Linked DNA regions of Saccharomyces cerevisiae S288C. The gene in region 2 interacts genetically with the main gene of each other region. Each region holds a gene or a part of one and is shown on either strand. Other genes may lie near its edges.

What was found.
Region 1: mutations in SEN54 (region 2) and YGR237C together harm fitness more than expected from each alone (negative genetic interaction), as found in Saccharomyces cerevisiae (one large-scale study listed by BioGRID).
Region 3: mutations in SEN54 (region 2) and EAR1 together harm fitness more than expected from each alone (negative genetic interaction), as found in Saccharomyces cerevisiae (one large-scale study listed by BioGRID).

The regions. Positions count from the first base shown.
Region 1 is NC_001139.9:962,670-967,369, forward strand, and holds YGR237C (uncharacterized protein), read right to left. Parts: upstream 2,987-4,700; coding exon 629-2,986; downstream 1-628. Other genes in the region: SPG1 (Spg1p), read right to left, coding at 1-148; KEL2 (Kel2p), read right to left, coding at 3,370-4,700.
Region 2 is NC_001148.4:396,148-400,169, forward strand, and holds SEN54 (tRNA splicing endonuclease subunit SEN54), read right to left. Parts: upstream 1,959-4,022; coding exon 555-1,958; downstream 1-554. Other genes in the region: BRO1 (Bro1p), read left to right, coding at 1-425; MOT1 (DNA-binding ATPase), read right to left, coding at 2,333-4,022. UniProt on the Saccharomyces cerevisiae protein: Non-catalytic subunit of the tRNA-splicing endonuclease complex, a complex responsible for identification and cleavage of the splice sites in pre-tRNA. It cleaves pre-tRNA at the 5' and 3' splice sites to release the intron.
Region 3 is NC_001145.3:603,338-607,266, reverse strand, and holds EAR1 (Ear1p), read left to right. Parts: upstream 1-1,746; coding exon 1,747-3,399; downstream 3,400-3,929. Other genes in the region: HOT1 (Hot1p), read right to left, coding at 1-1,286.

The DNA.
Region 1 (4,700 bases), on a different chromosome or scaffold from region 2:
CTAAGCTATGTGCAGGAACCGTATAGCCTCTCCTCATGTATGCGGTCGGTACCACAGCAGCGCCCACCAGCCCTAACATAATATATCTAAACTTTGGAGTTCTCACAACTCTTTGTGCCTCTGAGTATATTCCTGAATCTAACTTCATTTCAGTAAACTTTGTTTGAATTTTATGCGCTAAATATTTGTATTGATTGTATTTATTGATTCTGATCCTTCAGTAACACACATTCCAAACTATCCTGGATAATGTGAAAGAGATTTGGCAGTTCAATTTATATGAAGAAGACCCTCACGTCGCGAAGCATTTTTAACAGTGTTATCCCAGTATCCCGTAATTCTTCTCTTCATCCAATGCTGGCCATTACTCCATTTATTGGGGTGATGTAGGCTTCTTATCCCTTTTAAAGGGTACCTTATTGATCTCCCTTTTCGGTGCGGCTGATGAAATCTATAGAGCAAACCGAAGTAAAACAAAATTACGAAAAGAAATATAACATTATATCTTTATCAAAATGTATGTATGGAGGAGTAACAGCTGAAAACCCCCGTTGTGAGTGGTTTATGATTGTTTTCACGCTTATTTTGTCTTCTATATCTTTGCTGATTTTACTTGTATTAATCCGGTTCATCCGAAAACTTTTTTGAAGATCGAGCCAAATTTACTTTTTTTCTTCTTTTCAGACCTTTTAAATTGATGGTCGTTTGTTGAGGATGAGGAACTGTCCTTTTTGCTGTTGCCTGATTTGGTGCTTTCGGTAGTTTTCGTCCTTGAAACGTGGTTGTGGTGATGGTGGTGGTGATGCGCTTTTCTCTGTCCTGAAGAAGATGAAGTGGAGGATGTTCTGGGTGATAGCCCTGCGGATTTTGTTTTTCTCATTGGATGTGAAGTGAACTTCATTTTCGGATCCTCATTGTCCCATTTTAGTGCTGTCTTGATATGAGGCGTAGAGGCAGTTTCGTGGTTGTAAATGTCATCAACCATGGACTTTACTTTATAAATGCCGTTATTGTTGAATTGTATTCTTGAACTCCGCTTTGAGCTGCGCCTCGAATTTCTCGATTCTATAGGAGTTAGCTTTCGGCCAGAACTGTCGTACTTCATAAGAGTGTTATCATCCAATAGTACTTGTCTCGACGGTTTTGGTCTAACATATCCCATCTTATCGAAGAATTCCATTTCTTCCTTTTTTTCAGGTGAGATTGGGAAGTACTCATTTACAGAGGTTACTGACTCATCACTATCGCTTTCTTCATCATCCGAATCAACCACTTTATGTTTTGTGAAAGGGTTTTCCAAAGTTCTCCTGATTAATGCACTTAGCCATTGCAATCGTTCCTTTTTTCTCACTTCCGTTTTCAAATCATCGCTGTTGTCCTGTTCATCTTTATCCACTCTAGGTTTTATTAAAAGCTCAGGCTTGATGAATTCGAATGGGACAACAAATGCTGGCATTGCAAAGTGTTTCATTAAAAAAAATGGTAGTTTCACTTTTCCATTTCTAAACTTGATTTGAATGTTGGCACTAACGGTGCTGATTACTTGCAAACTTGGCCTATACAGAGAGGTCGCAGATATTATGGCTGATCTTGTTGAATTTTCTTTTACCATCTCAATACTAATCCTAACTATTTTAGTTGCCAATCTTCTCGCGTAGTAATTTAAAATATCGCTACAAGTTTGCTTAGCCTCATTATGAATAGCTTCTATTCTTATTCCCGTTGATAAAGGACTAGAGAGATCCGGGCCTATAAGGCTATGTGACGCGGTAGTCATGCTTTCACTAGTATTGCTAGTCATCCTTTCTAAGCGGTGCCTTCTTTTCTCCTTATATGCTAGAGTATCAATCTTTGCTTCAAACTCAGGAATTGTAGTAATTATGACTAAATGATCACCATTTCTTGTCAAATTTTCAACATACCAGTCCACAGATGACCAAGTATATCTCCTACCTGATATATAACACGAAACAACTCTTAAATCTACATCGTCATCTTTGTCTTTGCAATTGAGCTTTTCTTTTGTATTGGAAATATAATTTTCATAGTCTGGATGATCAATTGTCATTGAAATTGCATTGTGAACAATTGTAGGCCTTGATGGATAAATTGCTGCTAAAGGGTCCGTCACGTTGCTTGAATCCGTTTTTGACTCTGTTGTGTTCAAATAGACTGGAACTTGCTCACCAAAATCAAATTGATCTATTTTAGTCTTGTTCGATCTTCCTTTACTTATATAAAATTCCTCTAATTTGGCTAATTCTTCGTCTGTCATCCCGGCAAACGACTTGGACCTTTTCTTTGAGCTCTCCATATTTTCGCTTTCGGATAAATCTACCATTGACTTGGTCTCAATTCTATCTTCAACTTCATTAAGATTGGCAAATGCAGCTTGCGTATAGCCTTTCCTTGATCCAGAATTTTTTTGAGTGTTTCTTTCGGTCATTTTGGTCATTTTTCTTTCCAGCTCAAAATCCAAATCACCAATATCAATATCATCAATAGGGCCCTGTTCATCAGCAGCTTTTCGAGATTTTTTTAGCACGGATACTTTTGGAGGGGGAGGCAACCTCACTGAAGTCCTTCTTCTTGACCTGAACATTGGAGACTCACTTCTACTTCTTTCAACGCTGGGCGATCTCAAATAGCTTTTGGAGGGATCATGTGCTGCAGGAGAAAATACCTGAGTATAGAAGTGAGGAACTCCAGATGTTGTAGACGTTGGAGTTCCTAGTTGTAGTGGCGAAGAAGCTTCTTCGTCTTCGGGTGAGTCCAAGCTTTCGTCAGTGGCAAGGTCATTAGAGCCATGGCTACCGGTCAAAGTATTTTTGTAAACAGGATTAAATTGTGGAGGTATATGTAAAAAATGATTATTCAAGCCAACATGGTGACTGTCATTTTTAATAATGGTAGCTTGGTCATCAATTAAGGAAGGTGCCAGATCATCAAACGAGATATGCTTAGTAAATGTCTTTGCAGATGACATCTTCTATTATTTTTATTAGATATTAGCAGTTTGCCAGGGATTACAGCTTCTCCCTTATGTACAGTGCGACAATATTCTTTTTTTCAATGTGTCTTTTTATTCATTCTTCTGAACAGTTTCGCTTCGTTAAGGGTCCTTCTGGCTTTCTAGAGGCATGCTCACCTAAAATCCCCCTAGAAAAGCGGGCTCTTTACCCGGCGAATAATAATAACCGCGGCTACTAATTTTGCACCATTGAATATTAACCTCAAAAGGCTTAGTTGGCAATTATATTCTCCTTCTATTAATACTTAATGTTTACAATGTCCTTATAGGTGTTTAAATATATTTTTATATACTTTGTACATATTGACTTCCCAGTGCGTAACAACGTCTTCCAATGACTATTTTTTTTGTTCGAGAGTATATAGTTTTTTTTTTAAAGCTAGCAGTTCGTCCTTGAGGGAATCTCTATTTTCTTTCGACATATACAGTTCCGCTTTCAGATTGTTGATTTTCATTCTGTGGAACGCATCAAAATTTCCATGAGTGATGGCGCCACGCTGTTCCTGCTTGTCATCCTGTTCAGCTTGTTCAGTTTTAATTCTATCAATCTCCTTCTGTAAATCGTCGTTGTTTTTACGATATTTTTCGAGCTCGGATTGTGATAGGTGAATAGCCTTCTTTGTTAGGTCCATAGACTTCGAGCTTCCATCAGAGAGTTTTCTTAGCGCATCCAACTTGTTGTTATTGTCGAGTAAATTAGCCCGCAAAGAATCTCTTTCATCATTAAGCTTCTGAGTTTCAAGGTGCAATTTCTCTTTAGCACGCACGGTTTCGTGCATTTCATTTATTACTTTTTCTATTTTGTTCAGCGAATCTTTCTCATATATTTGATTATCTTTCTCACTTGAAGGTGGCCGTGCACTGGTAGGATAGCTTTTTAATAATTTACCCAGATAGCAGGACGATTCGTTCAAATAGGTATGAAGTTCGGGGGTTATTTTTTGCATATTATTTACAAGTATTTCGTTCTGGCGCTTCAAAACATCACATTTATTCTCAAGATCGATGATATCCCTTTTAATAGTGACATGTTCGGAGCATGTTTTAAGTCCATTATTTTGAATCGTAATTTGGTCACAGAGTTTACTTGCCTGAGATAATTTGACCATCAATAAATTTTTTAAATCATTAATTCTAGATTCTAAAAAGGTTTTCTGAATTTCTAGATTTTTAAGCCGTGCTGTTTGAAAATTTGAATCTTTTGAAGCTTCTTTTATTACCATGAGTCTCTGGACTTCCTTTTCTAATTGTGAAATATGTCTAGCAGTTTCAAGTTCCTTTTGTTGAGCTTCGAGACGTAATGTTTGTAGGTTCAGGTTTAAATCATCAAAAAGATTTTTGGGAATTCCTTTTTGACATGATGTGTCCTTATATGAAGAAGAGCCATACTCTTCTGAATCCACTGTTAGTCCTCGTAGAACAGGGAAATTTTTTTTAGATACTTTGATACCAGTTCCCGGACTTTCCTTATTGATGCTTGAATCAACTTTGGAAGATTGGGGTTTCTTTTCCTCCCTATCTGATTTTCGTTCAAATGCCTTATCATCCAAAGCGCTGGAGTAACTTCCAGCCCCTTCATCAATATCATTATAACTCAAAACTTTGCTATCAGGCAATCTTGGTGTAAGAATGTTTATTATCTCTTGATTTTCACTTTCGGTAGACTTAG
Region 2 (4,022 bases):
TTGCAAAGCAGACCGAGGATTCAACAGCTAATTCTCCCGCTCCTCCCCTCCCTCCACTTGATTCTAAAGCGTCTGTCGTTGGGGGTCCTCCATTACTGCCCCAAAAAAGTGCAGCCTTTCAGTCATTATCTAGACAAGGGCTCAATTTAGGGGACCAATTTCAAAATCTCAAAATAAGTGCCGGCAGTGATTTACCTCAAGGACCCGGTATTCCACCAAGAACTTATGAAGCTTCGCCATATGCTGCAACGCCTACTATGGCAGCCCCACCAGTACCACCGAAACAATCGCAAGAGGATATGTACGACTTGAGAAGACGTAAAGCAGTTGAAAACGAAGAACGTGAACTGCAAGAGAATCCTACGTCCTTTTACAATAGACCCTCTGTTTTTGATGAAAATATGTACTCCAAATACAGCAGTTAGGTGCATTTCTTATTTCTTAATTTTATTGTAGCTTTTTTTTTTCAACTAATATGATAATTATATATATACCGGATTTGTTGAAAGCCAGTTTTGCAAGGATAAAGAAACTGCGATTTAGCAAAAGTCCCTTTAATGCTTCTTCCATCTTTGATCTACTTTCTTTTGAGTATTAGGTGTATACCATACACTTTCAGATCCAAAATCAGCCTCGGACATTTTTACAAACGAAATAAGGCCATTATCCATAATAGCGATAATAAAGCTCCGATATCCCGTCTTCAATCTACGATTTTGCTGTATGTGAGGTGGGTACGCCTTTCTCTTCTTTTTCGTGCTAGACTGTGCAGTTTTTTTTTGAAAACTTGCTTTCATAGACGACTCACTTTTTTCAGTTTGAGATTTCGCGCTCCTCTTATGAATATATTCCTTTCGTGGGATATCTTCAACGTAGGAGTTTGTCTCCCAATCGTCATCATCCTCGATTTCGCTTAAAAATTCGAATTTATAATCAAGTGAGGAAAACATAGATCGCAGCTCTTTATAGGTAGGAAAATGCTGAAGATCGTCATTTTTATTGTAAACGAAAACTTGGAAATCAGGAAGACCGGGGTCTCTTTTCTTGAAATTAGAATGGGGTTTCCATACTTTAAATGTCAAGGGAATATCCTTTACCTTTTGAAATTCCCTATCAGATTGTGCATCCAATAGCTCTTTTTTATTCTTTGGTACAGCCACGGAACGAACAAGCCTATTTAAACCCTGGTATAACTGTGGTGAAGTCGTATATTTACGAAAAAAAAAATTCCACTTAGAATAGAAGAAACCACTAAACAGCGATAACTCTTGTATTTTAAACAATGAAAGTAATCTCCAAGTGATTGCTTGTAAATTACTTCGTTGCTTTTTCAATGGGAAAAAGGAAGTCTTGACTGCTGCTTCTTGATTGCTGGGTTTTAGAATAAAACCCAACCTTTTTAAATGAGCAAACACAAAATATTGGTCCATTTCCTGTTGCGATGAAAACAGCGAATACAAATCCTCCATACTGAGTAAAATCTCTGTTTCGTGCTTTGAGCTTTTGTTAGAGCCTGCTTCTAATCTATAATAAGGAAGAATAGTGCCTCTCTCTGCCAAATAAACAAACTCATGGAAGTCAAGCCAGAGTTCGCCTGTGCTATCAGCCCTTCCCATCGTTTGCATAAAGCTGCCTTTGGGTTTAAGTAGAACGGCTTGATGTTTATGGGGAACATAGTATCCTCTTACTTCAGATTTTACTGTTGTGCCTCTTATTGAGTCTGATATGGTATCAAACATGGCTTTACTTGCATTATAGAGAAGCAGATCTTGCAAATTAGTCCCATCTGGTTCATAGTCTTTTTCACCCCTCTTTGGAAGTGAAAGAGCAGCATTTTTGCTAACGAGCGATGCGAGTTGCGACCAATCTTGTTGTAGTTCTTCTTCTTCTTCTTCTTCTTCTTCAAAGCCCGGATTAGATGTGGTCACTTGATCAGTTTTCTTCCCAGCGAATTGCATTTAAATTGGCAGAAGAACAGAGGTTTTATGTATGTTTATATCCAAACGTTTCGATAGCTCAAATGAATAATTTTTCATACTGAGATGAAGCTCTGCAGAGTTCGACTAAACTGTTTCTAGTTTCCCTTTGGCGCAACTTAACTATGAAAAATAATAAAATAAAAAAAAAGTCCAAGCCATAATCAATAGACAGCTAATAACCTGAATTTTAACAAGAGAATATGAAAACATTATCAATACTGATTTGAATATACCCGTAAATTCTATAAGACTCCATTAATATACCGTATTATATTACAAGTTGATAATACATAAATGCGTTAAATAAAACAAAAATGACCTTGTATACGCGTCATTCCAATGCAAGAATTTGTTTATCGTAAAGTTTTGATGAAGGTGTCTAAATTATACTCCTCCTCGTATTGAGATGGGTCCCATAGCTCTTTCAATTCACCGAGGGCCTCTTTGGCTTTGCCAGTTAAACCAGTCTCGTTGGCAATATCTTCCATGCCCTTGGCTGCTTGGGAATCGCCATTATTCTTTTCCTCATTGTCCTGTGAGGTAACGTTATCGGGGTCGAAGAGATCAAGCAGCTGATGTGTATCCATGGATGCTAATCCACTGTTTTGCTGATTAACAACTGTAGAAGCTATATTCATTTTGAATTTCTGCAAACCCATGATTTTTTCTTCAAGCGTACCTTTCGTAATAATTCTGTAAACATTAACAACCTTTTTCTGACCAATTCTATGTGCTCTGTCCATTGCCTGTAGATCATTCATTGGATTCCAGTCATGCTCTACAAAAATGACGGTGTCTGCACCAGTTAAATTCAGACCCAGCCCTCCGACCTTGGTGGTCAACAGTAGGCAATCAATAGAGGGATCTTCGTTAAATTTCCGAACAACTTTTTGTCTGTCTCTTGGGTCAATGCTTCCATCTAGCCTCATATAGGTTACGGAGGGCATATACTTTTTAAACAAGTCATTTTCAACCATGTCTAGCATATCTTTTAGTTGGCAGAAAATCAGGGCTCTGTGTTGTGATATGACATTTTGAATAGGAAAATTCTGATCTTGGCTTGCTTTTTTGTCGATATCTTCTTCACCTATACCACATTCAAAGAGTAATGTTCTCAATGCGCTCAGTTTTGGAGCGTTGATAATATCGTGTAAATCTAGACCAGTTTGCTTTAAATAGTCTTGTACTTGCGCTAATTGCGGGTGATTTGGTGAAAGGACCAAAGCTGGATGATTACACAATTTTCTCATGTATTGTAAAGCTTGGAAAATATGTTGCTTGCCATCAGCAATCTCAGAATTTTCAATATCTTTCTCAACTACATTTTTTTGTTTTTTAGTAAAATCCATGTATAGTTGTTTTTGTAAATCACCTAATTCACAGTAGTAATCCTGAATAATTTTAGGTGGTAAATCAGATAGAACGTCTTCCTTCAATCTTCTCAGCATGAAAGGTAGAACTTGCTTATGTAGTGCCTCCAAAGCCAGTACACCTGCTTCCTGCTCCTTAGATGATGTTTTACTATTTCTTGACGCAGCGATTGGCTTTGCGAACCTTTCCTGGAACATCTTTTCCGTTCCCAAAAATCCCGGCATTAAGAAGTCAAACAGAGACCACAATTCTAAAACGTTGTTTTGGATGGGAGTTCCGGTTAAAATTAATCTATGGTTTGCAGTAATTTCTTTAACAGCCTTAGCAAGTTTTGATTGAGAGTTTTTAATTATATGTCCTTCATCCAAAACACAATAATTATATTCAGTTTTGTTTAGGACTGCGAGATCATTTCTAGCTACGTCATATGATGTTACAATAATATCAGCATCACTTAACTGTGGTCTCAGAGTTAATCTGACAGTTGGGCCACCGGCATACACAACAACCTTTAAAAAGGGAGCATACTGGTCAAACTCGTTTTCCCAATGGCCAGTTAAAGATGGGGGGCATATTATGAGAGATGGTAAGGCTCTACTTTCAACAGAACGCGTTTTTTCATAATCTTCCTTCCTCAAATATTGATCGCTTGCGATAATGCAGATGGTTTGT
Region 3 (3,929 bases), on a different chromosome or scaffold from region 2:
ATGGAAGAATTGGTATAATTCATGCTAGTTGTAGAATTATGAGAATTCGTTAATGGAGATAGGGCTGATATGGGCTTTTGTGCAGCACTAGCATGGTCATTTGTGCTCGCATTGTTGTTACTTTGCGTATTTCTTCTGCGCCGTTTAATCCCATTTGGGTTCAACTTGAATGGCTTGTCAGTTGAAGCGTTCGGGAAACTAATAGGCGAGCGATTTACCTGCTGATGTGTATTTGTGTTATGAATTAAAACCTGCGACTGGTTCTGATTGGCTTGTGTGTTTATAACAGGACCAAGTTGTCGGTTAGGGAGCGATTGGTTTATATTTTGGGAAACATTATTTCGATTATGCTGCTGATCAGGTAAGATAGTATTTAGTGCGTTAGAAAATTGGTTGTTTAGCTGTGCAGTATTCGTATTCACATCTATGGTTCCATTCGTAGTCCGATGCTGGTTGATACCAGAATGGGTGTTGGAATCTCCTGTACATAAATCAGCAGTATGCTGTCTACCAGAGCCATTATTCTGCATTTTCTGCAAGTAAGCACTACTAACGGCTGATATCGAATTTAGCAATTCGATAGCAAGCTTATTTTGGGCATTGTTTGTGCTTGGGCGCGCGCTTGGCTGCGCAACCAACTTAAGTAATATATTCAATTTGTTCATAACTTTATAGTTATCTTGTTTTAGGTTTAAAACCATTGTATTCTGTTCCGCGATCTTATTAGATAACTTGTTGAAGCTTTCCTCCATCTCAATCATTCGGGCACTCATTTCGTCCATTCTTTGAAAAATCTTCAACTGATCCGTCGATATTTCGTTCGACGGTGAATCATTAGTCAAGGATTGGCTTAACATACGCCCTGTACCCGCCGTTGTCGAGTTCGAAGCGGAAACATTCGAGTTCACCCGCTCTTCATTACTCAGTTTTTCACCAATAGTTTCTGTTGGTTGACTGGTACCTGTGGGTGCTGAAATCGCTGCTGAAGTCCTCAAAAGACCTCCATCTAGTGCATTTCCATCGTTGCGAAGTGTACTGGCGTTACTGCCACTGGCGCTCTCTGAACCAGTCGTAGGCGAAATGTGAGTGGGCAGTGAGAGGTCAAGATTGATACCTATAGCATCTTCATTTACTTGACTATTCATCCTGTACCCATCCTTTAATGTAGTGGGCATCATTAAGAATAAGAAGAAAGGGCTCATCAGTGTAGAATAATCGAAGCTGATGGTTATCCTATAAATCTTTGTACGTACGATGCAAAGAATCGCAATACCCATTCCAGACATTATGCTCCAGCCATATGTACCCTAAATATAATCTTTTTTGTATATAAAAAACCTAAAAAAGAGATAACTAAACCTAGCTCAATATTTAATTTGACCTAACCCTCCGTCGGCCCTTTTTTTTTATTTTTTTCTTCGGAACGGTGCGCTATAAAGAAAAAAGGCAAATTCCAGGTTATCCATATAAACGCCATAACAAAATTTCATTGATACAGGCTTTAAGAACCTTGCTCTATTTACTACTGCTCTTTCTTCCTCTCTCAGGTTGAGCTATTTTTGAGAATAGCGCTTTACTGCTGCATGGAGGAGTGATTTTTTATAGAACATTGAAAAACCAAAGGACTGGTGCCTAACTACAAAATTTTCAAGAGTTGTTTCAAGTTATCTATATTGTCATTGGTTAATAATTATAAAAAATCTTAAAGTTTGGAGAGCCAAATTTTTTTTCTATATAAAAAAGCAAATGTCATTCAAGTTTCTGATAGAATCGCTGCTTCTCGGTTCGATAAGCGGACAAATACGGTGTGGTAGATCTTCGGTGATCCCCCGTGGCGATGTATCTTATGGGGGAGACGATACTGACGAACTTAACATGGATATAATGTTGTTTGCGTTTGGAACCTTAATCGTGGTCTACATCGTCATCTGTATCGTTTATTTTTTTACAAAACAGATAGCTACGCGGCTTATAACTGCATATTATAATGAGCATGGCCCTGGCCAAAGAATATCTTTATTCAGCGATTATGACGAAAATAATGCACACGTTCATAGCAGAAGATTAATGGAAAACATGAGTTTAAGGTGGCCCAACAATCTTGACGATGCTGATGAAGTAAGAGATAAGCTGGCACAGTTGTCACCTGAAGAGCAGTTTTATTATAAGCAAGGTGAGGAGTATATCAAGCAGAACCCACCATTTCTGCTTAACCAGGGACTTTTACAACAGTCCGAAGATAGCAATCCAGACACCACCCGTGAAGACCCTATTATGAACGAGCAAACAAGGCAATATATTCAAGAAGAGGGGGCTTATGCATGGGAGTTTAGCCCAAATCCTGATATGCCAAACCATACTGTCATAGTGGAAAATAAAACAGAGGTTTCTTTTCTAAATTATAATTATGATGCTTCTATATCCACAAATCTACCCATTCCGTGTATAAATAAAGTATATTATTGTGAATTCAAGATATTTGAAACGGATGGCCCACTAAACAGTGATGAAAATGTATCGAAAGGTGTCATCTCATTTGGTCTTTCCACACAGCCTTATCCATATTTCAGGTTACCGGGAAGACACCACCATTCGATAGCATACGATTCTAACGGCGCCAGAAGATTTAATGACTCCTTCAAACTAAATGAGCAATTAAGAACGTTATTTCCACAGTGTGAAAAGGGAGACATTGTTGGCATTGGCTATAGGTCACGTAGTGGAACAGTATTTTTCACCAGGAACGGAAAAAAACTAAATGAAAAATCTGTTGGTGGTCATATCCGCGGCTGGAAATTCCAATACCTATACCCGATCATTGGCTCCAACGTACCTTGTCAAATTCATGTGAATTTCGGCACTTATGGCTTTGTTTATATAGAAGCAAACGTTAAAAAATGGGGATACGCAAAGTCAAACGGCATTAAATTACCTCCTCCTTCTTACGAAGACTACGGTAAAGATACCCTATTAGAAAGCGGTGGTGAAGACAATGATTTCGACGAAGATTTTTCAGACGGTGATAGCGACAATATTGCGGCTGGTAGTACTACAAATCTCAATGATGATATAATTATAAGAAACGGTGAAATATTACCGCCACCACCTGGATTTGAATTCACTATGTCCCCTCCCACTGGAAAGAAGATCATCAATGAGGAAATTAATCTAGATTCCTTACCTATGCTACCACCAAGTTACTCGGACGATGAACATCATTCGAAAAATGATAAATCAGCAATAAGCGGACGAATTATTGGAACGAGCAGAAATTTAATTACTGATGAAGCATCTTTCGATAGTGTTGATAATGATAACGAAGATGAAAATGATCACGAGAGAGATCCCGAACAATTTTCAGAATTTGATGATTACGAAAGCAGGATGCATGGCATATAATACGAAAATGCATGAGATAGTAAGGCTGAAACACTAGCCCCGGTCAGTTATCTTTTTTTGCGCTGTATTACGCAGAGCCACCATTTTTTAAAAACATTGCAATTTATAACGTTTTCTTCCTTATTGAGGGTTTCAACGCTATCACCTACTCGATATCGCAGTGCAGCATATAGATATTTACATACATATATACATATGTTTACGTACACTAGTAAGGGCAACTGGTTGACCCGCAAACTTCCTTCTTACTTTCCGTACTTTTGCCATCTTTACTTGCACCTCCGTGCTACCTCTTAATGTGTCACAAGAAGAACGTATGAAGTATTTGTCAGCGCTTCAGACATCAGCATGGGTTGCAAATGCGTGAGATTAAAATGAAGCGTTCCAGCTCGAAAGAAAATTTGCTTATCTTTCCCTTCTATCATTTTTTTTTTCTCGTTTTTTATTTTGCATTGCCTTATCTTTTGCCGCCAGAAGAAACAAGGTTGCCATTATCGTGCCATGCGTTTACTTGCTAACGCCCTATGATG